Macaca mulatta: one gene and its partners. The protein of the gene in region 3 binds, or shares a complex with, the protein of the main gene of each other region. Links are inferred from orthologs where the notes say so. Each region holds a gene or a part of one and is shown on either strand. Other genes may lie near its edges. The genes, in order: NSMCE2, NSMCE1, EID3 and NSMCE3.

Evidence for each region.
Region 1: EID3 (region 3) and NSMCE2 share a complex: the UniProt entries of both Homo sapiens proteins name them as parts of the SMC5-SMC6 complex. The link is inferred for Macaca mulatta from reciprocal best matches to the Homo sapiens genes EID3 and NSMCE2.
Region 2: EID3 (region 3) and NSMCE1 share a complex: the UniProt entries of both Homo sapiens proteins name them as parts of the SMC5-SMC6 complex. The link is inferred for Macaca mulatta from reciprocal best matches to the Homo sapiens genes EID3 and NSMCE1.
Region 4: EID3 (region 3) and NSMCE3 share a complex: the UniProt entries of both Homo sapiens proteins name them as parts of the SMC5-SMC6 complex. The link is inferred for Macaca mulatta from reciprocal best matches to the Homo sapiens genes EID3 and NSMCE3.

The regions. Positions count from the first base shown.
Region 1 is NC_133413.1:135,523,958-135,531,462, reverse strand, and holds the start of NSMCE2 (E3 SUMO-protein ligase NSE2), read right to left. Parts: upstream 4,514-7,505; 5' UTR 4,476-4,513; exon of another isoform or gene 4,418-4,475; intron 1-4,417. UniProt on the Homo sapiens protein: E3 SUMO-protein ligase component of the SMC5-SMC6 complex, a complex involved in DNA double-strand break repair by homologous recombination. Is not be required for the stability of the complex.
Region 2 is NC_133425.1:26,812,662-26,820,224, reverse strand, and holds the start of NSMCE1 (non-structural maintenance of chromosomes element 1 homolog), read left to right. Parts: upstream 1-3,035; 5' UTR 3,036-3,645; exon of another isoform or gene 3,646-3,732; intron 3,733-7,563. UniProt on the Homo sapiens protein: RING-type zinc finger-containing E3 ubiquitin ligase that assembles with melanoma antigen protein (MAGE) to catalyze the direct transfer of ubiquitin from E2 ubiquitin-conjugating enzyme to a specific substrate.
Region 3 is NC_133416.1:111,528,081-111,535,591, forward strand, and holds EID3 (EP300-interacting inhibitor of differentiation 3), read left to right. Parts: upstream 1-2,653; 5' UTR 2,654-5,489; coding exon 5,490-6,605; 3' UTR 6,606-6,811; downstream 6,812-7,511. UniProt on the Homo sapiens protein: Tissue-specific component of the SMC5-SMC6 complex, a complex involved in repair of DNA double-strand breaks by homologous recombination.
Region 4 is NC_133412.1:9,158,867-9,165,729, reverse strand, and holds NSMCE3 (non-structural maintenance of chromosomes element 3 homolog), read right to left. Parts: upstream 3,132-6,863; 5' UTR 3,038-3,131; coding exon 2,138-3,037; 3' UTR 1,530-2,137; downstream 1-1,529. UniProt on the Homo sapiens protein: Component of the SMC5-SMC6 complex, a complex involved in repair of DNA double-strand breaks by homologous recombination. The complex may promote sister chromatid homologous recombination by recruiting the SMC1-SMC3 cohesin complex to double-strand breaks.

The DNA of each region.
Region 1 (7,505 bases), on a different chromosome or scaffold from region 3:
CTCTTCAACCCAGTCATATGCCTATATATGCTCCACATTTTGCAGCCTTTCTTGAAGTAAGGTGTGGCCTATGACTGCACCCAAGGCAATGAAATGTGAGCCATTTCCAGGCCTAATCTGCAAAAACCCACACTTTCCCATTTGATAGCTTGATGCAGGCAAGCACAGTGACCTTAGTAAAGCTACACACTGATGATAGAGAATTACCAGATGGAAGGAGCTCAAGGCCCTACATCACTACTTGGAGGAAAACTACTCACCTATCAGGCTCCATGCATGAAAGAAACTTCAACTGGGCAAAGCCATTTAGACTTGTGGGGTTTACTTGTTACAGTACTATTAATAAAAAAAATACAAACCTGCCAGGACCAAATGATATAATTCAAGTATTCAGTTTTCTTTCTTTCTTTTTTTTTTTTTGAGATAGAATTTCGCTCTTGTCCCTCAGGCTGGAGTGCAATGGCGCTACCTTGGCTCACTGCAACCTCCACCTCCAAGGTTCAAGCAATTCTCCTGCCTCAGCCTTCCCAGTAGCTAGGATTACAGGCACCCACCAACATGCCAGGCTAATTTTTGTAGTTTTAGTAGAGGCAGGGTTTCACCATGTTTGCCAGGCTGGTCTCAAACTCCTGACCTCAAGTGATCCACCTGCCTTGGCCTCCCAAAGTGCTAGGATTACAAGCATGAGCCACTGCGCCCGGCCTCAGTTTTCTTTTTTTTTTTTTTTGAGACAGGGTCTTGCTCTGTCACCCAGGCTGGAGTGCAGTGACATGATCATGCTCACTACAGCCTCAACCTCCCAGGCTCATGTGATTCTCCCACATTAGCCTCCCAAGTAGCTGGGACCAGAGGTGTGCACCACCACATTTGGCTAATTTTTTTTTTTCTTTTTTTTTAATTTTTAGTAGAGATGACCATCTCCCTATGTTGCCCAGGCTGGTCTCAAACTCTTGAGCTCAAGCGATCCTCCTGCCTCTGCTTCCCAAAGTGCTGGGATTATAGGCATGAGACACCATGATCAGCAGAAGTATTCTGTTTTCTAGTCGGTCTTGATTCTAGTATAAGTCTAAAGTGTCTAGAGAGCATTGTCCAATAGAACTTTCTGTGATGAAAATGTTCTATGATCTGCACTGTGCAATATGATAGGCACTAGGCACATGCGTACTGACTACCTAAAATCTGGCCGGAAAGGTGGCTCATGCCTATAATCCCAGCACTTTCGGAGGCCAATCTGGGAGGTTGGCTTGAGCCCAGGAGTTTGAGACCAGCCTGGGCAACAAAGTGAAACCCTGTCTTTACTGAAAATAAAAAAATTAGCTGGATGTAGTGGTGCAGGCCTGTAGTCCCAGTTCCTCAGGAGGAGATGTGGTAGGATCACTTGAGCCAGGAGGTTGAAGCTGCAGTGAGCCATGATCACACCACTGCACTCCAGCCTGGGCAACAGAGCAAGACCCTGTCTCAAAAGAACAAAAAAAAAAAAAAAAAAAAGGAAAGAAAAGAAAAGAAAAGAAAAGAAAATGAAGAGATGGCAGGGACTGTTCTCTCTCTCTCTCTCCCTATCACGTGAAGACACATAAAGAGAGAAGCCATCTACAAGCCAAGAAGAAAGTCCTCACCAGAATTCAACCATGCTGGCAACCTCACCTTGAACTTCTGGCCTCCAGAATTTCTGTTGTTTAAGCCACCCAGTCTATGGTATTTTGTTATGGTAGCTTGAACAAAGACACAATATCTATGAAGATTAATGCAATCCAGTATAAATGGAAAGTATATACCAAACAGTAGTTGTCACTACTTGGTTGAATGCAAAACTCACATTACTTGAGTGAAACTTCACTCTTGCAGAGGACCAAGGAAAACATGACCATGCTTTTCTGTAATTCTGGAGTAGGGAAAAGATTAAGACAGACTGAATTGAAAAGCAAAGACAATGGATGGTGCAGAAAGATGGAATAGATATACTTTTCTCAATTCCTCCCAATAAATACAGCTAAGTACAAGTCAAAGACAACTCCTTTCTCTGACTCTAACAGCACCCTCTTTGATATAATTATAGCCTTTGGCAGTAACTCTACTTTGTTAGTGACTATCTTGCAAGATGTTCGCAGTGCTTCATAAACAGCAAGTGCTCTGAAACTATCAATAAATGAATAAACTGCTTCGGTCAGATGCACAGCTCTCGTGTTTCCTTCTCCCCTTCATACTCAATATTCTTGAACTCACCTCCAGACTTTGTCCAGGCTGGGCGCGGTGGCTCATGCCTATAATCCCAGCACTTTGAAAGGGCAAGGCAGGAAGACTGCTTGAGGCCAGGAGCTCAAGACTAGCCTGGGCAACACAGCGAGACCCCATCTCAAAAAAAAAAAAACAAACAACACAGACATGGTGGCTTGCACTTATTGTCCTAGCCCCTTGGGAGGCTGAGGTGGGAGGACCCCTTGGGTCCAGGAGTCCAAGGCTGCAGTAAGCTATGATCATGCTACTGCACTCTAGCCTGGGCAATAAGAGTGAGACGCTGTCTCCAAAAAGGAAGAAAGGACTTTGTTCATCCTGCTCCCACCGTGAGAAAACCATCTCTTCAGTTTTCTTTCTTTTTATTTATTTATTTTTTGAGACAGAGTTTCGCTCTGTCGTCCAAGCTGGAGTGCAGTGGCATGATCTCGGCTCACCTCAACCTCTGCTTCCTGGGTTCAAGGGATTCTCCTGCCTCAGCCTCCTGAGTAGCCGGGATTACAGGTGTGCGCCAGAACACACTGGTTATTTTATTTATTTATTTATTTATTTATTTATTGTATTTTTAGTAGAGACAGGGTTTCGCTATGTTGACCAGGTTAGTCTCAAAACACCCCACCTCAAGTGATCCGCCCTCCTTGGCCTCCCAAAGTGCTGGGATTACAGGTGTGAGCCACCGCACCAGGCTCTTTCTTCAGTTTTCTATCTGCCCACATCTTACCCATATGCTAAAGTCTGAATGTTTGTGTCACCCAAAATTTATATGTTGAAATCCTAACTCCTAAGGTGATGGTATGAGGAGGTAGGGCCTTTTGGGAGGCGATTAGGCCCACTTTCATGAATAAAATTAGTGCCCTTTTAGAAGATGCTCCAGAGAGCTGCTTTGCCATTCCACCGTGTGAGGACACAGCAAAAAGCCACCTATGAACCAGGAAACAGGCCCTTGCCAGACACTAAATCTGCTGGCACCCTGACCTTGGACTTTCCAGCCTCCAGAACTGTGAGAAATAAATTTCCGTTGTTCGTAAACTACCTAGTTTATGGCATTTTGTTATAGAAGCCCACACTGACTAAGACACCATCTCTCATGGCTTGGTTTAAGTGGTTCTCAACCAAGAAAGATTTTACCCCTCTCCCAAGGGACATGTAGCAATATCTGTAGACATTATGGTTGGCATCTAGTGGGCAGAGGCCAGGGATACTCTCAAACGTCCTACAATACACAGGACAGCCCTCACCCCCACCCCACAGGAAAAAATTATCTGGCCTAAAATGTCAATAGCGCATCAGTTGAGAATAACTGATTTAAATCAATCTCTCTTGGATCCCTTCCCATGTAATAACACTGATCTTTTCTTCCCAATACCTATGATCTCCAAGAAAGTTTAGAACAAGTTGTGCATTTCCTGAGTTTTTTCTCTGCATGTTATTTATAGACAATATGCTGACTTCCTTTAAATCCACGGGAACCTTGTACAAGTCAGCCAGAGCTGCCTCTCCTTTTTCAGCATGCAAGGATATACCCTTCTCTCTGAATCCTTCTCATACAATTGCTTGTTCCCTCCCTCATGCTACCATTATTCCTATCACATGCACATGTACACAACACACTCCCATTATGAAACTCATCACAACTATTTGCTCACATGTCTGCAGCTTCTTTACACTGAAAGCTCCTTAAACTAGAACCCTGACATATTCTATTGCATATAAAGCAGTTCTTCACACAAAATAGGGGACCAATAAAGATTTGGCGAGTTACAAAAATAACAACAGACATCATCATTTCTCGGTCACCTACAGAATGCCATAAACTGGTGTCCTGGCACTTCATTCTCCTTATCGCTAATTCTCACTGCAATCTACATAAGTGAAGAGGAAACTGAGGTCCAGAGAGTTTATTCAAACGACCTTCCCGTGGCCTTACTTTTAAAGTCAGTTCAAACCACATCTATTTGGATCAAAAATTCGTGATCTTGCCCTTACACACTTGTGGCTAACGGATGGAGAGATGGCGCCTCGGACAGGAGGGTAAACTGTCCCAGACTCACTACTGTGGCGTGAAAAGGGCCACAACCATAATCCAGGTCGACGAATTCCCGGCTCGGGGTCCCCGTGGAGTGTCCCTGAGGGAGGCGACAATTCCCGCCACCTTCCCCATTGCCGTCCCCCGCTTCTTCCCTACCTGGTTGTCCGAGTTGTCTCCGTCTGGTGGCACCCCAACTTCCCCTACTTGTACCCACCTCCTTTCCTCAGCCCCCTTCGCCTGTAGCTGAAAAGTGAGCGGGGGCTCTTGCGTCATCATCCGTCGCCGGCGAGTGGTCACATGATGCCCCTCCCTGCTCACCGCCGCTTCGGTCATGTGACCGTCCTGGAAGTCAGGGGCGGAAGCCGGGCTCTGACCCGTTCCAGGTCCGGGACTGGGGATAGAAGAGGACCGCCGCCGTGAGGGAGGGGTGGAACCTGGGTGCCGACTCCGCGCGCAACCTCCTGCCCTGCGCGTGCGCCGCTGGCGCGGCCCGGCTGACAGGTGAGTGGGGATGGGATGAGCGCACCCCATTTTTGCATGGCCCCCTTCACCTCCCCGCTGGGCCGCGCTGGCCCTGGGGAGGTCTCCAGCGTCGCGTGCAGCCTGGACGGGGGACTCGGGATGGAGGGCTTAGGGGCTTTCTGGGGCGGGGGCTGCAGTCCAGCTCTTCGTCTCCGCTTAGGGGGAAAACATTTTGCACACTCCTTCCTCGCTTTAGGAAGCACCGTTCAGCTGGCTGCTTGGTCCGAATCTCATCCTTCCAAGTTTCCGGGAACACTGCTGTGTGGATGTCGTCGTTATTTCTCTCTTTGCTTTTGAGAAAACTGAAAGGCTAGTAGTGAGGACTTTTACAGCCTGACGGACCTGGATTTGCATTCTAGTTATGCCATGGGCTGTGAGTTTGGGCAAGTCATTGCTGCTCGCTGCGTCTTAATGCCTTCACCTGTGCTAATGCCAAAATCCTTTGCATTTTGCGTGGGGGGGAAATGTTCCCAAGGCCCTGATTCCTCTATGATCGGACAGGAAAAAGAAAAAAAGTCACAGAGTCGTAGAACTGGGTCTCCTGATTGCAAGCGCATGGAGCTCCCTCAAACATAGGTGAAGGGTAGTGAGGGAGAAGTTTTCCTGTCTTTGTGCACAACAAGGGACACCTTCTCTAATTGTCCTTCACCTGCCTTTCCCAGGATTTCAGGTTCAGCCTCATGTCAGAACTTTTCTGGAAAACATATGCAGCTTGCATTTATTCTGACCGACAACCATTATATTTTGTTTGTGATAATGGATTTGTGGAGATCAGTGCTTCCTTTATGGAACTGAGGTTTTGCGAAAGGCTAAATATAGACCTACCTTCTTTTGTCCTCTGAAGGGGGTAAACAGTGTTTGTCCACGACAATTCGATTTCCTTAAGAAATATTATTCTGCACTCTGGGTAATTGGTATAATGATGCCATGCCTCATTCTTGACAGCATGTCTTTTGATTAGGATTACTTCCCAAACTGAAAATCACAGTTCCACGCCAAATTCTTAAAAATGAAGTTACTGGCGCTTGTAAAAGAAAATAAGAGAATATAGTGGGATCTCTGGATTTCATGCCGATAGTAATACAGCCTGTATTGAGAGAGCTGATCTTCAAGTTTTCTTAATCCCTAGCACGAAGAGAACCTCTGAAAGGATAATTTACCATAGCTTCTTCTACAGAGTTTAATTGGACCTAATTCTAAAGTGGTTTTTTAAGACTTAACTGAGTCTTAACACTTTGTAAAGCCATCCACATACCTCTTAGCTGCAACTTGATTAGGCATTTTTAATGATGGTTCTTAGATTCTGTTCTTCAGGACCAGTCCTTCGGCCAACGAGGGGGCTATTTAACAATTACTCTAGCCAAATTATATTTGTGCAAATTATGGAAATTCCATTTGTTACATGGAAAATATAACTAGTCCAGGTTAGGAGGTCTAGTACGTAAAATGTAACTAAGTGATTTCCTTCTTTCATTTAATCTTGTTTTAACTTCTTCCATCTTCAAAAACTTAGCAGGAGATGCTTGCATTATTAGAAATAGAAAACACAAGTGCCCTTCATGGGGCCAAACAGATTACAAGCAGTGAGTTCATTTCACTAAAAGTATATTAAATATAACATATTTTGCTTTCGCGTTAAAAATTTAATATAAAGTTTATATATTGAATTTTAGAAAGGCGATTTATGTAGGTAATAAAGACCCATAATATTTGTTTTACTATTGCCAAACATATTTGATTATTATTATCCTTCTCATGTTCTTTTAAAGTTGTCTACAATGTAATTCTTGAGTAAGGACCTAAGGATTAAAATAAGAGATTGACACACGAAAGTCTTGATTTCGGTCGTTATCCCAGACTGAAGCTTCCCTGAATGTGTGCATGCAGGTGCTGAGTCTGTCTGTCCTTCTGTATGTTGGGAGAGAGTAGAGTAAAGGGAAGGTAATGTTACTTTGCTTTAAGATGTTTTTCCCAGGTCTACATTGTTGCCCTGTCATGGTATCCAAAATCAGGTAGCTCTTGGACCTGTTAATCATCGCTTGCCCTCCTCTTCATGAGTCTAGAGCAAGCTTGTCTAGCCTGAGGCCCACAGGCTGCATGTGGCCCAGAATGGCTTTGAATGTGGCCCAAGACAAATTTGTAAATTTGCTTAAAACATGAGTTTTTTTGTGTGTGTGTGTTTTTTTTTAAGCTCATCAGCTATTTTTGGTGTTAGTGTATTTTATGTGTGGCTCAGGACAATTCTTCTTCCACTATGGCCCAGGGAAGACAAAGATTGGACTCTCCTGGTGTAAAGTTTCATCCTACTTAGACCTTCTGGGTTAGTTTGGTGGTCTTCAGAGGGCTTTAGGAGGTGACTGTTTTGCCCATTGTCCATTATTTCCCTTTTCCCTCTCTCCTTTCCCAAGCCAGACCATATCCATGGAGAAAATGAAATGAAATTATCTGAAATTCAGCCTGTTAGAGATCAGTGTGATTTAACAAGCAAGTATCACAGAGGAAACTAAAAGAACTTGTTAATAATGTATGCCTTAATGTGTATCAGAGGGTACCTTCATGAGAGTTCTAGACAGCTGTAGTGGCTTCTTGGCTCTCAGATGCAATCCAGTCTACTTCTTCTGTTTCTGCCCCTAGCTGACTCTACTCCAGCCACTTTAGGCACCTTGCTGGCCGGCTAGCACATTCCTGCCCTGGGGCCTTTGCACTTACTTGTAACCTCTGC
Region 2 (7,563 bases), on a different chromosome or scaffold from region 3:
CCTCACCATGTTGGCCATGGCTGATCTCAAACTCCTGAGCTCAAGCCATCCTCCCAGCTTGGCCTCCCAAAGTGTTGGGATTACAGGAATGAGCCACCGTGCCCAGTCAAAGATCAAAAACCCCAAGTTTAAATATTGATAATCAATAGAAAATTTCACAAAACCGTGTAGGGCAAACAAAACACAAATGTTACTCCTTAGGGCTTTATTTCCCCACTTATTTGACTACCTGTTGGGCAGTTTATAAAGTACTTATTAGTGGTGTTAGTTCACACTTATTGAGGGCTTACAATGTGCCACAGACAGTCTTCTAAGTAGTTTACATCTTCTCTTCCTTTAATCTTCAGAATAACACTATCAACAAAGTGCTATTATTAAACCTGCTTTATAGATGAGCAAACTGAGGCTGAGAACTTGAGTTCAGTCATCCCTTAGTATCTGTGAGGGATTGGTACCTCAGTCCCCATGGATACCAGAATTCTCGATGCTCAAGTCCCTTATATAAAATCAAAACTACCTTGGTAAAAAGCATAACTGAGAAAATTCTGATAGTGAAAGAGATCTGGCCTGACTCCATCTTGCTTCTAACTTCCAAGCTGTCCTTGATCATTCCTGGGCATAGGTTGAATTAATGTTGGAAAGAACTTAGTTCATAGTTTAACTTTGAAACAAAGGCAATAATAGTCCTTTCCCAAAACAAATCCCCTTCTTGCCTAGGGACGGGTCTGCCTTTGTAGACTAACAAATTAGCTAAAAGATTAGAAATTATGGTTTAGGAGGTCACGCAAGCTGGAGGCTGCAAGATTCTGACCCACCCCAAATCGCTTCTGGGAGTAACATCACTGTTCTAAAACCTAAAATCAGTGCTTGAGATATTTTGTAGAACCTGTGTTCTAACGCATCAGCTGACACCACCCAGCCCTGTAATCTGGCTCACCTGGTACTTTGGCCTTAACCCAGGAACTGACTCAGTGCAAGAGGACAGCTTTGACTCCTTTCCTCTCTAATCCGACCAATCAACACTCCCTAATCCCCAGTCCCCTACCCACCAAATTATCCTCGAAAACCCTGAATTTCCGGGGAGACTGATTTGAGTAATAATAAAACTGTGATCTCCTGTTCAGCCAGCTCTGTGTGAATTAAACTTTCTCTATTGCAATTCTCCTGTCTTGATAAATTGCTTCTGTCTGGGCAGCAGGCAAGGAGAACCCACTGGGCGCATACAAAATGGCAGAATATTTGCATATAACCTACGCAAATCCTCCAGTATATTGAAAGTCATCTTTAAATTACTTATACTACTTAATACAATGTAAATGCTATATAAGTAGTTGCTATGCTGTATTGCTTTCAGAATTTGTATTATTTTTATTTTTGTATTGTTATTTTTATTGTTTTTCCTCCACAAATATTATCCATCCGTAGATGGGGAACCTATAAACAGGGACGGCTTACTATACTTTGTCCTGTGTCTTGGAGATACTGAGTTTAAGGCCCAGGATTCTATGTTGACCATCCAGCTCCAAAGCTCAAGGTTTTAATCACCACACACTACTGCTTTCCCACTTGGCAGATGAAACTGAAGCCCAGAGAGGTTAAGAAGTTGTCCAACATCAGGCCGGGCGCGGTGGCTCACGCCTGTAATCCCAGCACTTTGGGAAGCCGAGGCGGGCGGATCACGAGGTCAGGAGATGGAGACCATTCTGGCTAATACGGTGAAACCCCATCTCTACTAAAAATACAAAAATTAGCCAGGCGTGGTGGTGGGCGCCCGTAGTCCCAGCTACTTGGGAGGCTGAGGCAGGAGAATGGCGTGTGCCCGGGAGGCGGAGCTTGCAGTGAGCCGAGATGGCGCCACTGCATTCCAGCCTGGGGGTCAGAGCGAGACTCCGTCTCAAAAAAAAAAAAAAAAAAAAAAGGTTGTCCAAGATCACAGGGGTGGTGAGTGACCAAGCCTGTATTTGAGTTATCCTCACAGAGACAGACATTTGCAGGTACCGCTGTTCTATATTAGTTACCTGTTTCCCTTGCTAGGCTGCATCCCTAGCTCTCAGACTAGGGATAGTATACAAACGTTTGGAAAATTAATGCCTTGAAGATTCAAAACAGTCTATTCACTTCCAAGAGTAATTTCACTTGCTTTCTCACAATCCCTAGGTAAGATAATAGTTAACATTTAATCAGCACTCCCATGTGACACTTTTCAGTGGCTATGCTAAGCACCTAAATCTCACCAACACTATTTTGCAAGGACTAATATCCCCATTTAATGGAAGAGGAAACTGAGGCTCAATGACTTGCCCAAGCTTCTGCCAACTAGTAAGTGGCAGAGCCAGGATTCTAGCTCAGGCTGTATGACCACAGAGTCCACATTTTTCTTTTGTTTTTTATGAGACTAAGTCTTGCTCTGTCACCCAGGCTCGAGTGCTGTGATGCGATCTGGCTTACTGCAACCTCTGCCTCTCGGGTTCAAGCAATTCTCCTGCCTCAGCCTCCCGAGTAGCTGGGATTACAGGCACACACCACCACGCCCAGCTAATTTTTGTACTTTTAGTAGTGACGGGGGTTTCACCATGTTGGCAAAGTTGGTCTCGAACTCCTGAACTCAAGTGATCGGCCCGCCTTGGTCTCCCAAAGTGCTGGGCCTACAGGCATGAGCCACCGCGCCCGGCCAGAGTCCACATTTTTGACGACGAGGCCACACTGTCAGTTCCACTGATGGGGAAACTGAGGCCCGGGGCAGGGCACTACATTGTGCCGGCGGAATCGTGGCCAGTGGGGGAAGCACGGGCTACGCGCCGATTCTTCCTCCTTGGTCAGGGAAGTCACTGAGGTGCAGGAGGCGGAGGGCGACAAGTGGAAGCCCCTTCCCATTATTAAGGATGGAGAGCGGCGCAGTAATTGGGATCTAACCCACGAGGCGGAAACACTAGGGAAACGGCGCAAACGGAAAACCGGAAGTGCGTCACCCAACGGACGGGCGAATCGTCTGCAGGCCACCAACGGGAACGCCGCGTTCGCGTTCGCCCCGCCCCAAAGGAAGAAGAGTCCGCCTTGCGACCGTATCCGCTAGCTCAGCGCGGGTTGCGCTTGGGCACCCTGGTGGGTAACGCGGCGCGCTAGGGGGTAGAGGGGAAAGAAGAGGGACTTCGAGGAAGGCGAGGGGAGGACGGAAGGTGGGGTGGGCGAGACAGGCAGTGGGGTCTGGCCCCGTGGTCTATCCTCGTGGGCTGTGGAACTCGGGGACGGGGGTCTTGGGGCTCCCCCTTCTTGATGGGGAAACTGAGGCCCAGAGAGGGGCCGCAGAAGGCAGCGGACTGGGATCTCCTCCCACAACACACACAAAGACATCTAAAAATCGTACTATTTAGTGAAAAATATTTTTAATCGTAATTACGATTTAACAGGTAAGGATACTTTTCATTGTAATAGGTGAAAAAGCAAAATATAAAATTCGATTCAAACTGTGATTACATCTATGGAAAACACAGCCTTCGCCGACCACCCTGTCTGTCCCGCCGCCCTCCGTGCTCCCCTCTGTTTTTGTGTACGGAGTTTCTCACTTTGTACAAGTCCGCAGCCGCTTGTGTTACAGCCCCGAGGCCAGATGCGTTTAAAATCGAGGATTTCTCGGACTTTGGAAAGGTAAAGTGCGTATGTTCTATGTTAGGTTTCACCCTCAGTGGGGGCTGGAGCAGCGGCTTGCAATCAAATACACGACCCTTTCCACAGCTAAAGATATGAAGATATGCATATATTATATTGACCGGGTCGCGGTGGCTCAGGCCTGTAATCCCAGCACTTTGGGAGGCTGAGGCGGGCGAATCACCTGAGGTCCGGAGTTCCAGACCAGCCTGGCTAACATGGTGAAACCCCGCCTGTACTAAAAATACAAAAAATTAGCCGGGCGTGGTGGCGCGTGCCTGTACTACCAGCTACTCGGGAGGCTGAGGCGGGAGGCTGAGGCAGGAGAATCACTTGAACGAGGGAGGCGAAGGTTGTAGTGAGTCAGGATCGCGCCACTTCACTCCAGTTGGGGCAACAAGAGCGAAACTCCGTCTGAAAAAAAAAAAAAGATATGCATATATTTACACTGTTGGGATAAATAACCATGGATAGCCTCACCTTAAGTCAGGTCAAGTTCTCCAACGTAAGAAACAAGTTTTGGTATTCAGACTTTTTTTTTCCCCTGCATCTGATCATCCACTAGTATTCATACCTTTTTAGATTTGAGGGTTGCAGATGAGGGACCTGGATTGTAGCTGTTCTGTTCACTCACTTTTCTCACTCTCACTGGATAAGAGAGTGTCTTTGAGAACAGGAACCGTGCTGTTGTATGGTCACGTCTCTCTCTGCCACCAACTCTTGTGTGTCACCTTGTGCCCTTTTAGTCTCAGTTTCCTCATCTGTAAGATGGGGTCAGTGATCCTTTGCTCATAAGGTGCTGGTTGGGGTTAAATGATGTCGTGCATGTGAAGCACAAGAATTGTGTTAGCACCTGCACGAATGGTATGACTGAGATTTACTTATTCCACAAACATTTATATTTCAAAATTATTAAATTTAAATAAATGTATTATTAAATGAATTAAATGCATTAATTAATTAAAAGTATAGATGTATTTCTTAAAATGTGGGTGATAGGAATGTTAAAGATTTATATAATGCTTCAAAGCCTTAGAAAAGGTTTTCTTTAGTTGGTTTATCTGTATATCTGAACTCTTGAAACTTAAAGCTAAAATACTAGGATTTATCTGCAGGGTTGCAGAGAGATAATTCTGCCTTAAATTGTCTAAAACAAAAACAAAACAAGACAATATGTTATACATGGGATTAAAACCAATTTTTCTCCCATTTTTTCTCCTTTTTTCTTTTGCTGCCCACATTGTGCCTTTATTTTATGAGCCCCATTTTTCTGGGCTTAGTTAAAAAAAAAATTCAATTCTAAACGTTGAATTTAGGGAGTTTTTGTTCTTAAATAAAAAGGCATAGACTTAAAAAAAATAAATGTTTATCCAGGAAAATATGTTGAAATCATGCTGCTGAGCCTCTATTTTCTTTGATGTTTTGGTTCGGTATTCTTTTATCATAAATTCTTAGCATTTAAAAATTTACTGATGTACATTTAAAGCCAATAAACTTTTAATTAATACAAATATATATATATATATATATATATATTTTTTTTTTTTTTTTTTGTGATGGAGTCTCACCCTGTCACCCAGGCTGGAGTGCAGTGGCGCGATCTTGGCTCACTGCAACCTCCAGCTCCTGGGTTCAAGCGATTCTCCTGCCTCAGCCTCCTGAGCAGCTGGGATTACAGGCGTGCACCACCATGCCTGGCTAATTTTTGTATAAAATAGAATTATTTAAGTAGGTGATACATGTATGTCTATGGCTAATCCCACCATTCTCTCCACAGTCTCTTCTCATAGAGACAAGGGATACAATATGCATAAACAAACTTATGGTTGTCTTTCTTCCACTCCTACTTTCCCGCCCCTTTTCCACCAAATCATAGCATTCAATCATATCTTGTTCTCATTCTCATTTACATTTATTTTGGCTGTTATTTAACATATTCACGTAACTTTTTTTTTTTTTTGTGGAGAGTGGATCTTGCTATGTTGCCTAGGCTGGTCCTAAAGTCCTGGTCTCAAGCAGTCCCCCCACCTTGACCTCCCAAAGTATTGAGATTACAGGTGTGAATCACCATGCCCGGCCCATCACATTTAAAAACATTGTATGTAACATACCTATACAATTGTGTGGAAGTATAAGTTTGAAGGACAAAAATGAAATGAACGCTCATGTACCTGCCACCAAGTTAAGAAATAGACATTTTCAGATCCCCAAACCCCCCACTGAATCCTTTCTTCCCTCCTCAAAGATAACTACCACTCTGAATATTGTGTTACTTGTTCCTTTGTTTTGCTTTGTAGTTTTTGCGATGTATGTTCGTATCTCTAATGAATATAATGTATGCTTTTGCTGAGTTCGATTTTATATGATAGGATCCTAAAATATATTTTGTGTGACTTGCTTCTTGCACTTAACGTTATCTTTTTGAGAAGCATGTGTGTTGATGTGAGGAGCTCTACTTTATCTTCATTGCTGATTTGAATTCTATGAGATAATTACATTGTTTTAATGTAGTTCTTCAGTTGGTAGTCATTTATACTGTTGCCAGACTTTTGTTATTACACGGTGCTTCTGTAAAAACATATTTCCTAGCGCAAAAGTGGAAGTTTCTGTAAGGTATATACCTAATAGATTTCTGGGGATATGCAAATTTGCTAGTAATATCAACTGTTATCTGAAATGGTTACAGTAATTTATACTCAGCCTGGTGTGGTGGCTCACACCTGTAATCCCAGCACTTTGGTAGGCCAAGTTGGGTGGATCACTTGAGTCCAGTAGTATGAGACCAGCTGGGGCAACAGGTGAGACCCCATCTCTACAAAAAATACAAAAATTAGCTGGGCATGGTGGTGTGTGCCTGTAGTCACAGCTTCTAGGGGGGTCTGAGATCAGAGGATCGACTGAGCCCACAAGGTCAAGGCTGCGGTGAGCTATGACTGTGTCATTTCATTCCAGTCTGGGCAACAGAATGAGACCCTATCTCAAAGAAAAAAAAAAAAAGAATTTATACTCTTCCTGCAACAGATGAAAAACAGATGAAAGTTTCAGCCTAAGCCTCAGACATTCTTTTAAAATTTTTGCCTATCTGGTGTTGGCTAAGACATTCCTTCACTGTGGTTTTAATAATCATTTATCTGATAACATTGAGATTGAGCATCTTTTTTCTGTATTTATTCATCATTTATGCATCCTCTTTTTGTAAAATTTCTGTTGCCCATTCCTCTTTCACAGTTGCCTTTCCCATGCTGATTTGTAGGAATTCCTTATATAGTCTGAATATGAATCTTTTGTATTATGTAGCTTATGTTTGTTTTAAATACCCTCCAGTTGTATCCCCTAACCCCCACCTTTCTGGTATTTTTGGTGAATACAGGCCCTTAACTTTAACAAAAGTCAAATTTATCAGTATATTCCTGTATCACCTGTAATTTTTGTATCTCTTAAAGAAATCTTTCCCTACCCTCAGGTGATAAATATATTCTGTATATTGTCTAAAAGTCTTAGAGTATTTTTCCTTATTATGACCTTATCCCTTCAGAATTGATGTTTGTGTATAGTGTGAGGTAAGAATCAAATTTTACTCATTTTTTTCACATATGGATAACAAGTTTTCCTGGCACCTTTTATTGGAAAGTTTGCTTCCCTCCACCATCAAGTATCCATGTACATGTACCTTTCCGTTTCTGAATTCTCTGTTCTGTTCCATTGATTGGTCTTATTTGTCTGTCTCTGTACCATTACCACACTTGACTCGTTACTCTAGCTTTATAAGAAGTGCTTTTTTTTTGTTTTGGTGTGTTTTTAGACAGGGTCTCACTCTGTCACCCTGGCTGGAGTGCAGTGGTACAATCATGACTCACTGTAGCCTCGACATCTCGAGCTGAAGCAGTCCTCCCACCTCAATATCACAGGTACCTGGGA
Region 3 (7,511 bases):
GCCAACATGGAGAAACCCCATCTCTACTAAAAATACAAAACTTAGCTGGGCATGGTGGCGCACGTCTGTAATCCCAGTTATTGGGGAGGCTGAGGCAGGAGAATCACTTGAACCCGGGAGGCGGAGGTTGCAGTGAGTCGAGATCACACCATTGCACTCTAGCTTGCACGTCTGTAATCCCAGCTACTGGGGAGGCTGAGGCAGGAGAATCACTTGAACCCGGGAGGCAGAGGTTGCAGTGAGTTGAGATCACACCATTGCACTCTAGCTTGCATGTCTGTAATCCCAGCTACTGGGGAGGCTGAGGCAGGAGAATCACTTGAACCCGGGAGGCGGAGGTTGCAATGAGTCAAGATCACGCCATTGCACTCTAGCTTGGTCGATCGAGTGAGACTCCGCCTCAAACAAATAAACAAAAAAAATTAAAAAAAATTTTTTTCTGGCCGGGCGCGGTGGCTCAAGCCTGTAATCCCAGCACTTTGGGAGGCCGAGACGGGCGGATCATGAGGTCAGGAGATCGAGACCATCCTGGCTAACACGGTGAAACCCCGTCTCTACTAAAAAAATACAAAAAACTAGCCGGGCGAGGTGGCGGGTGCCTGTAGTCCCAGCTACTCGGGAGGCTGAGGCAGGAGAATGGCGTGAACCCGGGAGGCGGAGCTTGCAGTGAGCTGAGATCCGGCCACTGCACTCCAGCCTGGGCAACAGAGTGAGACTCTGTCTCAAAAAAAAAAAAAAAAAAAAAAATTTTTTCTGTTCCTAAAGCAACATTCAGAAGTGAAACTACTGGTTTGTATATAGTTTTTAAATATTTGCTATCTTTGGGATTGTTTGATTTATTAAGTACCTACTTAGTAGTTGAAAACACTGTCAGATACATTACATAATTTTCATTCACTATAGTAATTATATGGTATAAATACAGTTGTCCCTTGGTGTCCTCAGGGGATTGGTTCCAGGACCCTTGTGTATACCCAAATTCATACACACTCAAGTCCCAAAGTCTGCCCTGTGCAACCAGCATATATGGAAAGTCAGCTCTCCATATTCACAGGTTTCACATCTCACAAATACGGTATTTCTTTATTTCTCACAAGCTTTTTCCTCTTTAAGGAGCAGGCAGACCTGGGTAAATGCTGTATTTTTTATCGCTTTGGTATAAGTGGATCTGTGCAGTTCAAAGCTGTTTCCTTCAAGGGTCAACTGTAGTAGTATTCCTGTCTTATAAATAAAGACACTGGAGGCTGAGAGGTTAAGCAAGCTGGCTAAGATAATACTAATAGCTAATAGGTCAAGATTGGAACCTAGATTGTCCCCTCCCACAGTCTGTGGTCTTTTCAAAAACAAATTTTCATTAAAAAAATACATCTGTCTTATCATAGCAAAGTTCACCTTTAATAATAAAAAACAAAGAAAACACAAAATATGTACACACAAACATAACTTTAAAGAAAATTAAGATGAAAGAGAAACTGCCAGGCATGGTGGCTCACGCCTGTAATCCCAACACTTTGGGAGGCTGAGGCGGGCGGATCACAAGATCAGCAGTTCGAGACCAGCCTGGTCAACTTGCTGAAACCCCATCTCTACTAAAAATACAAAAATTAGCCTGGTGTGGTGGCTCGCGCCTGTAATCCCAGCTACTTGGGAGGCTGAGGCAGGAGAATTATTTGAATCCGGGAGGTATAGGTTGCAGTGAGCTGAGATCATGCCATTGCACTCCAGCCTGGGCGACGAGCAAGACTCCGTCCCCAAAAAAAAAAAAAATTAAGATGGAAGAGAAACTATACCTAATGTCCTGCTAACTCTGGCAAATCAAACTAGGACTTTTACCACATGTCTTCACAACTCAATATTAAACAGATGCCCTGGTGGTATGAAGGAAGAAAAGCTGCTATGAAAGAAGGAATAGAAAAGTTTAGGGAGGTAGCTGATAGGATAAGTGTGTATGTTAGTGTGTGGGACTCAAACTTGACTGATTCCTGGCTTTGGCTCCAAAAAGTCTATTAAAAATCCATTTGTTATAGATAAGTCTTACAGCAAAATCTCACTGGAGAAAAATAGTGGACTCCATGTGACTTCTTCCTTTATTTGGTTACAGGGAGACATGTGACCTTTGTCATCCACCCTGTCACGTTTGTATTGAGCAGTATGGGTTGTGGAAAAGAGCTCAGAATGCTTGGAATTAACCTAAACTCCTAGAAAAGGAACTGAAAATATAGGAGAAAAGACTGAAGAAAAGAGGAAAGGAAATGGAGGGTTGTATTGAACCCTGACTAGCAACTCTTGAGCGAAGAAAGAGGAAAAGGGGGGAAGAGGGGAGCTAAATTATCTCTGAGGCAACTCAGTCTTATGGCTGCCTGAACTAGTCTATACTGTGGGAATAAGGTAGACTCCATCGATTGCTGTGAAGTACCAGTGCACTTCTTGCTCTCTATTCCTAGTCACAGACAAATTTATCAGCAGTGCAGTTTCTTCTTTTTAAGCTTCATTTAAATAATTATTAGTAGCACTTGGACCTTAGGTTAGGAAATCACTGTTTAATGATTTAAAGATTAACCAGCATGGAAATCCCATTCTTTATATGATTGGGGAAAATTATTAAACTTGAGATTGTTTCACTTTGTAGCAAATGTCTAAAGGCAGATTTTTTTTTTTTTTTTTTTTTTTTTGTGGAGTTGTTTCCCTCTTGTTGCCCAGGCTGGAGTGCAATGGTGCCATCTTGGCTCACCCGCAACCTCCGCTTCCCAGGTTCAAGCAATTCTCCTGAGTAGCAGGGATTACAGGCATGTGCCACCACGTCCAGCTAATATTCTATTTCTAGTAGAGACGTGGTTTCTCCATATTGATCAGACTGGTGTCAAACTCCTGACCTCAGGTGATCCACCCACCTCAGCCTCCCAAAGTGCTGGGATTACAAGTGTGAGCCACTGCGCCCAGCCTAAAGGCAGAGTTTTTTTTTTTTTTTTTTTTTTTTTTTTTTTGAGACGGAGTCTCGCTCTGTCGCCCAGGCTGGAGTGCAGTGGCGCGATCTCGGCTCATGCAAGCTCCGCCTCCTGGGTTTACGCCATTCTCCTGCCTCAGCCTCCTGAGTAGCTGGGACTACAGGCGCCCGCCACCGCGCCCGCCTAATTTTTTGTATTTTTAGTAGAGACGGGGTTTCACCGTGGTCTCGATCTCCTGACCTTGTGATCCGCCCGCCTCGGCCTCCCAAAGTGCTGGGATTACAGGCGTGAGCCACCGCGCCCGGCCTAAAGGCAGAGTTTTAAGGTGGAATATGATGCAAGTCTGCCTTTCTTAGGATGATCTAAGTTACATGTTAATAACGTACTTGGAGATCTAGCATAGAATGCACTCAGCACTGTAAATCACAACTTAATAATGCTTGCCTTGATATGCTCTGTTGCTCTGAGCAAATTGTGTGGGCTGTTATCTCCTGAGAAATCCCTGTAAATGGTATTAGTAATACTTTATAAGTAGGTTGGGAGAATATAGTTTTCTAAGGCATTTTGAAATTCTTAGATGAAAGGTTCTTTATTAGCAAATTGGTGTCAGCCTATTTTCCTTCCTCGGAGCCTGGAGAAAATAGGCACCATAGGGTGGGAAGGGTTGGCTTGTCTTCGTAAATAGCTATTGTTGAATTTAAAGTGGATGTGAGCAACTCCTAAGAATATCGTTCACTGTAAAAGCAGACTTTTTTGGATTTGGGTCTTGGCATTCTTAGCTGTATTTTCACCTAAGATTTAAAACAAGTTTAAATACTGGTTTGTAATTGGCCAGACTTGGGAAAGATATGATCCTTTAATGATCCTGGGTCTCAACTTACCTATCTCTCATTGTTTCTTTATTTCAGAAGAGGGATAAGAACTTTTTCTGAAGAGCAGTCAACTTTTCCTTTCAGTGTATAGGATTACTTCCACGAATCTGTGAACTTAATCTTTGCTGCCAAAAAACTTACAGTAGATGCTGGGACAGTTTTAAATCTATTTTAATTTATACATTCAGTACATAAGTGCATCCATGTAAAAACAGCTATGTTTGGAAGATGTAAAACCCAGCTTTTGTTTTTGAGAAGCCGACAATCTAATAGCATAGGATCATATATACGTACAACTAACCGTAATGCATGGTGTTTTGAAAAATGCATGTATTTCCCTGAATTACCCCTAGTTAATAAAATAATTGGGGGCAAATGGTAATATAAGGATTTTGGAGTAACTTAATACTACTAGATTTTGCTGTTTATGCATTTGCAAAAAACCTTCTGCTAATGCTAAATACGAACAAGTCTATCTGCATAAAGGATGGTAGGGCTAATTTACTTCCTGGTGCTGTGAAACTGGACAGGTGCAGTTGTGGGTGTCTTTTTTTTAAGGTGCACCTGCTGCAGGTTTGAAAAGCTGTTGATGCCCATGGTTTGGTTGTGTGCATGTTCTCTTTAAAAACCAGATGTATTAATTACAGTTGTTAAGTATACTTTGCTATTTGCTACTGGTGAGACAGATAAGCGGAGTCCTGTGGTTAACTGCACTTGAGTTTCCAGTGACCCCATTAAATCCAATGGGTAAATTTTCCAACGCAGATTAGTCACCCAGTTTACAGATTAAGCTTTCATATCCTTAGATTGTTTCTGAAATCTTCATAGCTTTGCTCACCTTTTAGGGTTCAGAGTTCTTACCCATTCAGTGTCGGTGGCCTTTATATGTTGGCAAGCTTACAAGCAAATAGCTCTTTTGCAGAGATCTCTACCCATCATTCTATTCTTCCACTCCTGGATGGTGGAGAACCAAAGTTCACTTGAGTAATGCGAGCACTCAGTTTCCTGCAGGGGTTAGCACGCATACTGGAGGCTCCCCCGACCCCACAGATCTTCGGGATGGGGTGATGGAGGGGGTTTGGTTTTTAAAGAGGACCTGTGAAAGTAATTAACCCGATTTACATTTGTATAATAAGTCTAAACACCACCTTGCAAAAGAACTGAGAGTTCAGCCTGTTTAATGGAGTTTCTGCTTTTCACGGGCCTTGGCCTTACCGGCGGTTACAGTCCAGCCAGATTTAGTTCACAAAAAAACAAAACCCTCGGTCGACCTCACTGCGGTATATGATGGCAGCGATCGTTTTAAAGCGCAGGACCTTTAGTGTCCTCAACAGTTTTGTCTCAAGTTGTCCAAAAGTGTTTTTTTTAAAGTGAGGTGATCCAGTCGGTAAACGCTTTGAAAAAGAACAGCTGTGCCCTGAGCGGGCATAACTCGCGTTTGGGGTCGGGGCCCATTATTGCGCGTGTTCGGAGCGCGGCGCTTGCCTATGAGCGAGCGCCTCGGGTCGTGGTGCATCCGGGCCGGGGCGGGGCTGTCTTCCCGCGGAGCGTGCTGGGGGCGGGTCGCGCCGGGCCGGGCCGCTAATGCGCATGGGCGGGCGTCCGCGGCTCCAACTGCCGCCAGTTTCCACAAGCTGGGAGGGCCGTTACCTCGGAGATACCAGTGGCCGGCATGTCGGTTGAAAAAGCTTCCCGCAAGGGAGACGACGAGAAAGGAGAGGAGCAGCTCGTGGTCATCCCTAGTAGCGAGTACGCGGCGAAGCCGGCGGCGGCGGAGGGAGCGCCGATGAAGATGGATGTGGCGGTGAGGGTCACGGGCTGCTCCGACGACCTCAGCTCTGGGGATGCCGACATAGACCCAAAACTCCTGGAGCTCACCGCTGACGAGGAGAAGTGCCGCAGCATCCGCAGGCAGTACCGGCAGCTCATGTACTGCGTGCGGCAGAACCGGGAGGACATCGTGAACTCGGCGAACAACTCCTTGACCGAGGCTCTGGAGGAAGCCAACGTCCTGTTTGATGGAGTGAGCCGAACCAGAGAAGCAGCCCTCGACGCCCAGTTTCTTGTCATGGCTTCTGACTTGGGTAAAGAAAAGGCAAAGCAGTTAAACTCTGACCTGAACTTCTTTAATCAGTTAGCATTTTGTGACTTTCTGTTTCTGTTCGGGGGTCTGAATTGGATGGAAGGCGAGCCTGACGACTTGAGTGATTGTGATGATAACATAGCTCTTTCCTTCTGGAAGGCAATGGAAAAGGAAGCAACATCCTGGATGGTAAAAGCTGAGACATTCCATTTTGTTTTTGGTTCATTCAAACTAGAACCTTCTGCACCAAAGCCCCGACTTGAACACCAGAAAAAAGTTCGCAAGATGGAGGAAAATGGGAATATGCCTACAAAGTTGCGGAAGCTGGACCTGAGTAGTTATCCAGAAGCGACAGAAAAAAACGTAGAAAGGATTTTGGGATTGTTGCAAACCTACTTTCGAAAGTATCCTGATACTCCTGTGTCCTATTTTGAGTTTGTGATTGATCCAAACTCTTTTTCTCGTACTGTGGAGAATATATTTTATGTTTCTTTTATTGTAAGAGATGGTTTTGCAAGAATAAGGCTTGATGAAGACAGGCTGCCAATATTAGAGCCGATGAATGTTAACCAAATGGGTGAGGGAAATGATTCCAGTTGCCATGGTAGGAAACAGGGAGTCATATCTTTGACTTTACAGGAGTGGAAAAACATTGTGGCAGCTTTTGAAATTTCTGAGGCTATGATTACATACTCCTCATACTAAAGATTTCTTAGTATAGGATCCTTTTTGTGTGTTTTTCTGAAGTTATCTCAAATGGAGAGTCAAATGTAAACTGAAGCACATATTGTATGTCTTGTAAAGTGAAAAAGTATCTTCAAGAACATCAGACATTGTTTTACTGTGCAGCATATTTTTCTTAGTAATTTATAAGGTCATGATCTTCTCTTATTAAAAAAAATTCGTTGGCATATTTATGGGAGCGTTTTATTGAATGCCCTTTAAGACTATTAACAAAAACAAGTTTTGGATACCAAATTAAGGGATATTTGATAATTTGCAAAACATAATAATTTACGAAAATCAATTATGATGCTCTGTGATACATTGCTTTCTCTGTCATAGAGAACCAAGAGAATCCCAGAAAGAGTTCCTAACCACGTTGGGGAAAGAGTGGGTAAAAAACAAAAGTGGAAAAAAAAGCAAACAAACAACAACAACTTGTCTGTAAGGCAGTTAATATGCAACATTAAGAATAAAAAAGTCATTGCAAAGAAGACAGGATTTATGAGGGAGTATCCATATTCTCAACAGTTTCTGTTATTAGACTCAGCAAAAGTAGTGTCTCTGCTGTAGAAGTTGAGGTGTCAGCTAAGGGCTGAAAGTTGAGTAGAAACACGGAGAAGGAAAAGGCCTTCTAGGCAGGAGAATAGCAAGGTCAAATGCATGGAATTGTTAGAAGTTAGGCACGAGAGGACCATTAGATTTATGGAAAAACTGTTATATTTGATTGTTAAGCTGGGCAACAATTGAATAACTTCATCTATTAGTATCCTCAGAAGATATTTTTGTCTAACTATTATACGTTGAACACAAAATCTTTTGCTATCCAGTTGTAGTTTTTATCTACTGAATTTCTTCTCTGGCCCCTAGTGTCCCTTTGTGGTCTTT
Region 4 (6,863 bases), on a different chromosome or scaffold from region 3:
ACAAAATAAAACTCTATATTGGTTATGTATCTATACATGTGTAGTAAAATTATACAGTCATACAACAGCCCGATAGCCGCAGACTTTTGTTATCTCTGGGGAGGGTGAGAAGGAAAAGATATAAGGCCTTGATGTGGCCTCTTATGTTTCATATTTTAAAATTTGAAACAAGATTATCGATGGTAAATTGTTAACACCTCTGAGAAAAGCGGAGGGAATTTTGCCTCAGATATAACCGGTGGTGACTGCAGGGTAACAATTTTTATTATACAGGTGAGAATGTGAGTATCAGAGGGCACGAGGAGGAGAAAGCTGAGTCAGGGAGGTCACGGGACCAGGAGGCAGGAAGCAATTTATACACTGAAATAAAATGCAGATCAAGAAGAAATGCCTATAAGGACCAAACATCTTCCACTGATGAAACAAAGGCAAATCCCAATTCAACAGAATGAAATAAAACCCAGCAACCTATCACATTCCTCCATACTCACTATAGACTCTTTTAAATGACATTCAGTCCAGTGTTGATGAAGTTCACTTTTTCCCCCCCCGAGTGAAAAATATCTGCCTTATTTCAAGGTTAATTTGCAGCACCTCCCCCTAAAACAATTATACTTATTTACCCACTGAATAAAACGTGTTGAATCTCTGCATTAAAAACAGCATCTGCTACATGTAATGGAGGAATACAATGGGACTATGAACTCTTCTAGTTCATCTAGTCCATAAAACAAACTATTATATAGCTATAATTTTTTTCATTTTACAGGTAAAGAAACTGAGATTCAGACAGCTTAAAACCTACCACCATATCACCATGCTGACAAGTTAGCATGAGCCGTAATTCAAATTCAGTTTGCCAGACAGCCCCAAGACCCACACCTTTTCCCTATACCTAACTCCCTATGAGGTTGATCTTATGTCCTGCTCTCACTGTTCTATGTGGGCTATACTCACCATACACTTTATACTTATTTCCCCATACAATAGAGTCAGACTAGTGGAATATACCTTTTGAACCAGTAATTGCTCTCCTAGGAATCATTTGGAAAACAAGATAAAGAAAAGTTGTATTTAAAAAGTGGCAGCTCCAGACCGAGAATAAAAAATAAAAACATTAAAGAATAACAAGCAAATTCCTCCACATCAGGGACTAAACCCATTTTACAGGTCAAGAAACATCTGCATACAAACTAAGGAACCTACGTAAATTCCTATACTAGTGACGGTGGGGCCAGGATCTGAACCCAGGCAGTCTGATTCCCAAGCAGGCATGGTTAATGGTTACGCTATTGTTTTATAAGCCTTTTTGGTATCCACAGTAGAAATATATTTTACCTCATGATCCTGTACACACACACACAAAAGTAAAACAACTTCTACAAAACAACATTGACCTCAATATGTTGCAAAAACTTTAAGACGCTGATTTCGTCATGAAATTGTCTCATGGCCCACGATTTAAAACACACACAATGCTTCAGTGCTTCAAAAATACAGTATTTATTGTAATAACTAGAGTAGCATGTAAAAAAAACTAAGTGGAACTGCATGTTTAGCAACACAGCTGAGTAATTATGAATATAAACAATTGCTATTTGGAGAAAATACACCACGTTCATTGCTTGGAACCATGAATAATACTTACATATGTAGGAAATATAGAAAAAATAAAATAGGTTAAGGTAATAAGGATATAGGCAATTACGTTTTTATTTTTAATTTTATAAAGACTTTTATTTTTCCTTACAAACTGGGATGCTTAAGAGACCCGATAATAGCTACTTTTTTATTTTCTTGGCACCAAAGCAACTTACTTATGTGTTCCTTCTGGCATATCTGTTTCAGATCATAGTCAAGTTTTCCAATTCGTTTTACTAAGCTAGGAAAATTTTTTATACCAAAAAAAGTAAAATCAAAGCAAAACAAATGCTCTTTTGTTTATAGATGAAAATCTGGAACCAAATAACACAACATTAAAAGAACAAAACTTTGCAAACACATCCTAAAGCTACACACATTGAAACGCTACAGAAATACGCTTCCTGGGTTCGTTCTCCCTTCCCCCGCTCCTCTGCACTGTGCCTTTGGGTCTCAGACCCTTGTCCCGGGGGTCCCTCTGAATCCACCTCAGATTTCAAGAGGATGGGGCTGAGCCACTGGGCTGAGGTCTGGCCCTGTTCTCCTCATCTGCCAACGCCTCACAGTACTGCGCTGGCCAGTCCTTGGGGTCTTGATTATGGACTTTGGCCACAAACTTAAGAACTTTCATCTTGCTGGTTTCCAGGTTGGTTCGCGGGCCCCACTGGAACTCGTAGTCCACGGGGTCGGTGTGGGGTATCCGCCGGTATTCCAGGTAACGTTGTCGCACAAAGTCCTCGGTAATGAGTTTCTTTGGATCTCCGAAAATGAAATGCTTCTTGGTGGGGTAGACCCCTAAGCGCCGCAGAAAGTCCCAGACTTCAGTCTCCTTGACGGTGTTGCCCTTCATAAAGATGAGCCCCAGGACGATCATCAGGAGGCCCGTAGTGGGCGTGCCTTGGTCACCCCTCACCTCGGCATCCTCCTCCACCGGCTCCAGGGTGTTGATGAGGATATAAGTGTTGCTCTTGGGTTCAAGTTCCACCAGCTTATAACCGAAGACGTACTGGAGGCGCTCGGCGGCCCGTTTGAGGAGGTCGGGGAAGATGTCCTTGTAGTCCCCGATGACGTGCTTCAGTATGTCGGCCCGCTTGATCGGAATCTTCTTCTGGTCCTTAATCAGTAAGAACTGCACCAGCTCGGACACTTTCAGCTCCTGCTGCTTCTGGGTCCTGGGGCCCACGGCGGGGGAGGCCTGGGACCGGCGGGCGCCCTGCGACCCCTGCGAGCCGCCCGGCCCCCGGGAAGTGCTCGGGGCCTCCTCTGCGAAGCCGTCTCTGCGGGCCCGGGCGTGTTCGCCCGCCCGCGAGGCCCCGGAGTTTCCGCCACGGCTCCAGTCGCTGTCCCTCTCGGCCTGGCCGCCAGAGCGACCCCGGTTCCTCGGTTTTTGCAACATGTCACCGGCGACGCGTACCGGTGCACACTCCGGCAAGCAAGCAGCCGCGGCTGGGATCGTGGGTCGGCGACCCGCTAAGGCCGCTGCCTGGGCGGGGCCCCAGAAGGGGCGCGCAGTGTCGGCTGAGACTGCGTGCCGCGTCATGAAGCCTGCGCCTTGCGTCACGGCGGCTGGGCGGTGCGCCTGCGCGGCTGCGGGGCTGGGGGTACCAAAAGCATCAGATATTTCTGTGCAGCCCTGCAGGTCTGGTCGGTGAATTTCAGTATATCGAAGTGTTGTTCTTACTAAACCATGCAAGCAGAGAACGAGAACCGAAACTCCTAAACAAGTGTGTCGCTAAATTCAGGACCAGACAGGCTCAGGCAAGTTTTACAGACGGTATTATGAGTTTCTAATTCTAAATCGGGAGCATTTGTAAATGAAAAGATCTCACAGGATGAATGTGTGAGAAAGAAAAAAAAAAGGTGAAGAGGAAGGTACGACCGTGGAAGTAAAAGCATTTATTTCTACACAACATGTAGAAGGATATAAAAAACCCAGAGGGCTCTTAGTTTTCGTCCCTCCGCTCAATTTTATACCCTCCAACCCACTGCCCCCAGTTACTTTCTCTAATGCCCCGTGGAGTTTGTTAAAAACAAAAGTCTGCTGCAGGCTTTCCGCGCAAGCAGGACTTCGGTTTCACTATTTCCGTATGTGTATTCTCTGCATTAAACTCCTTTAGCTAGACAACTATGAGAAAACCCCACAAAACTTGTCAATATTAAGTAAATGTTTTAGCTTGGTCAAATGAGTTTATCCTTTGGAAAACAACTGTCTTCGGCTCACAGCCACAATTTTAGCAGAAATGCGTAAGAGGAATGCTGCAAACGTGCACTCTCAAGAGATTACCACTTAATTTTGGGCATCACTGATCAAGAATTGCAATAATGTGGATCTCTTAAATTTCTTAATTCATAATATATTAGCTTTGAGAAAGAAAAGAGAACACAAGGGTATTTATCCCTCATCTATGATGTGTGCAGTCTATGTATATTTTAATTGTGCAACTCAAGTAGCCAAAATGAGTCATTTCATTAACTCAAACCATCAGCAATCTGCTGCCATTACTTCTATAGATCTTAGCAAATTTGTTTCTTCTCTATTTATTGACTTGCAAAGAAGAAACTGAATTTCCCTGTGTCTTTTTAAAGCTACCCAGAAAGTGGATAAACTCTTCAAAGAACCAAATCGAGTTCCTCTTTAATGCAAATATATTCAAAGGAAAGCAATTTAGAACACATTATCTGAATAATAGCATCAAACACAACCTTATTAAAATTTTGTTAAATGTTAGTAGCATAACACATTTGTTTGTAATTCAGTAGGAAAATGCAATCTGATAATGGCACTGGAACTGCTATAGTAAATGTAAAATCATATTCCATGAACTAATGCAAGTATGCTAAAATCTGATACGCAGTGAGTAATAACTTACTGTTCCACACAAGATACAACTATATCCTCAGGCATCAAGCTTAATGACAAAGGCCTACTACGAAAAACAAATATATTATCAAGGTATTCATTTTTTTACAATGAGAAAATTCATCTGCTTCAGTTTCCTTGCAAATTAAAATTTGGACTTAGGTTCATAAAAGCTTCCTGCCATCTAGAATTCTGCAAAAGGTCCCTACCACAGGATGCGGATGGTCTACCTTGAGTCAAAAAAGTTCGGTGACCAAGATATAAGGGGAAAGTGGAAAATTAAATAAAAGCTATTGTCAACAATTGGGCTGGTTTTTCAATGCTGTTTCTTGCTAAGGTATTCACTTACGTCACCAAGCAGTCCACCAATCAGGCTACCCCCATGACTGTGAAAATCAGCAGTGTCCTCTAGCAGCACTCTTACCTAGACAGCAGACTGTCATTACTCAAAATAGAGGAGAAGAGATGCCAGTTTGTAAGTCTGAAAACATCTGTCTACGCCATGTCCAGAGGAATGCAGGTGAGAAAATGCACACATAAAATAAGAGTATTAGAATTAGAATTAGTATTAGTATTAGTATTAGCGTTAGTATTAGAATGAAGTTTAGGCCCTGCATGGAGAAGTCCCACATTCTTCTGCATGGAGAAGAAGACCCACATTCCACCTTGGATTAATACTGGAAGCTATGGATGTTTGGGGAGAAACTGGTGAAAACAATACTAACATTAGTAACAATAATATAAACGACAACAGTCAATGATTATATAGTAGTTGCTGCTCCATCTCCATGTCTGCAGTTTCACTTTCTTTGGTTTCAGTTACCTGCAGTCAACAGTCTGAAAATATTAAGATATTTTCAGAGAGAAATCACAATATAACTTATTACACTATATTATATTTTTTCTACTTTATTGTTAGTGTCAACTGAAGGATGATGAGGTTCATAAATTTGGAAAGAGCTTTATTTCTCATAGAGGGTTGCAGTCTGCAGGGTGGCCATTCCAACAGCCTGGGAAGCAAAACCTCATGCTAGAAGCCAGAAACAGACACTTCAACGGAGGGGCAAAGGGAGCACGAATCTATGCAGAGTGGGGTGGCCAAGTATACATATTTAATAAGCTATAGGAGGAGTCATGAATATTTACGCAAGGAGAAACGTGCACATGCGCAACTGCACTTCATGCCTCTCCATGGGACCCATATTCCAAAACTGGCAGTGTTAGCATGATCCAGGGTAGGAGTTTTCGGACCCTCTGATATCAGAAGGTGAAGCAGAGGACATGAAAACCCTGACTGCATGTCTTCCATAGACTGGCCCTAACTACTCCATGGTTGGTAGTCTTTTACCAGGAAGAACTGCTGGGCAGTTGTGCCAAAACTCCAAAAGGGAGGGGCAGCATCAGGTGGCTGGTTGATACCAGCGGTGGAGTCTTGAAGGGCTGATTTCTGTTTAGCGCTTAGGGAAGAAAGCCGAATGGCATTTAGAGCGGGAGAGGGTTTCCAAGGTTATTCTGGGGTCCCCTTGGTCAAGAAGGGGTCTGTTCAGTCAGCTGGAGGGCTTAAGGTTTCATTTTTGTTTCTCATTAATTATTGTTAATCTCTACTGTGACTAATTTATAAATGAAACCTTTTTTTTTTTTTTTTTTGAGATGGAGTCGCACTCTTATGCCACTGCACTGGAGTGCAGTGTCACGATCTTGGCTCAGTGCAACCTCCGCTTCCCACGTTCAAGAGATCCTCCCATCTCAGCCTCCTGAGTAGCTAGGATTACAGGTGTGTACCACCATGCCTAGCTAATTTTTTTGTATTTTTAATAGAGATGGGGTTTCACCATTTTAGCCAGGCTGGTCTCGAACTCCTGACCTCAAGTGATCCATCCCTCAGCCTCCCAAAGTGCTAGGATTACAGGCGTGAGCCACCGCTCCTGGCCTAAATTAAATTTTATCATAGGTTCATGTAACGATTAATGTTGAGTGTCAACTTGATTGGATTGAAGGAAGCAAAGTATTATTCCTGGGTGTGTCTGTGAGGGTGTTGTCAAAGGAGATTAACATTTGAGTCAGTGGACTGGGAGAGGCAGACCCACCCTCAATCTGGGTGGGCACCATCTAATCAGCTGCCAGCGCGGCTAGAATAAAGCAGGCAGAAGAACGTGGAAGGACTTGACCTGCTGAGTCTTCTGGTCTTCATCTTTCTCCCATGCTGGATGCCTCCGGCCCTTGAACATCAGACTCCAAGTTCTTTGGCTTTTGGATTCTTGGACTTACACTAGTGGTTTGCCAGGGGCTCAAGGGTCTTCAGCCACAGACTGAAGGCTGCACTGTTGGACTCCCTATTTTTGAGGTTTTGGGACTCGGACTG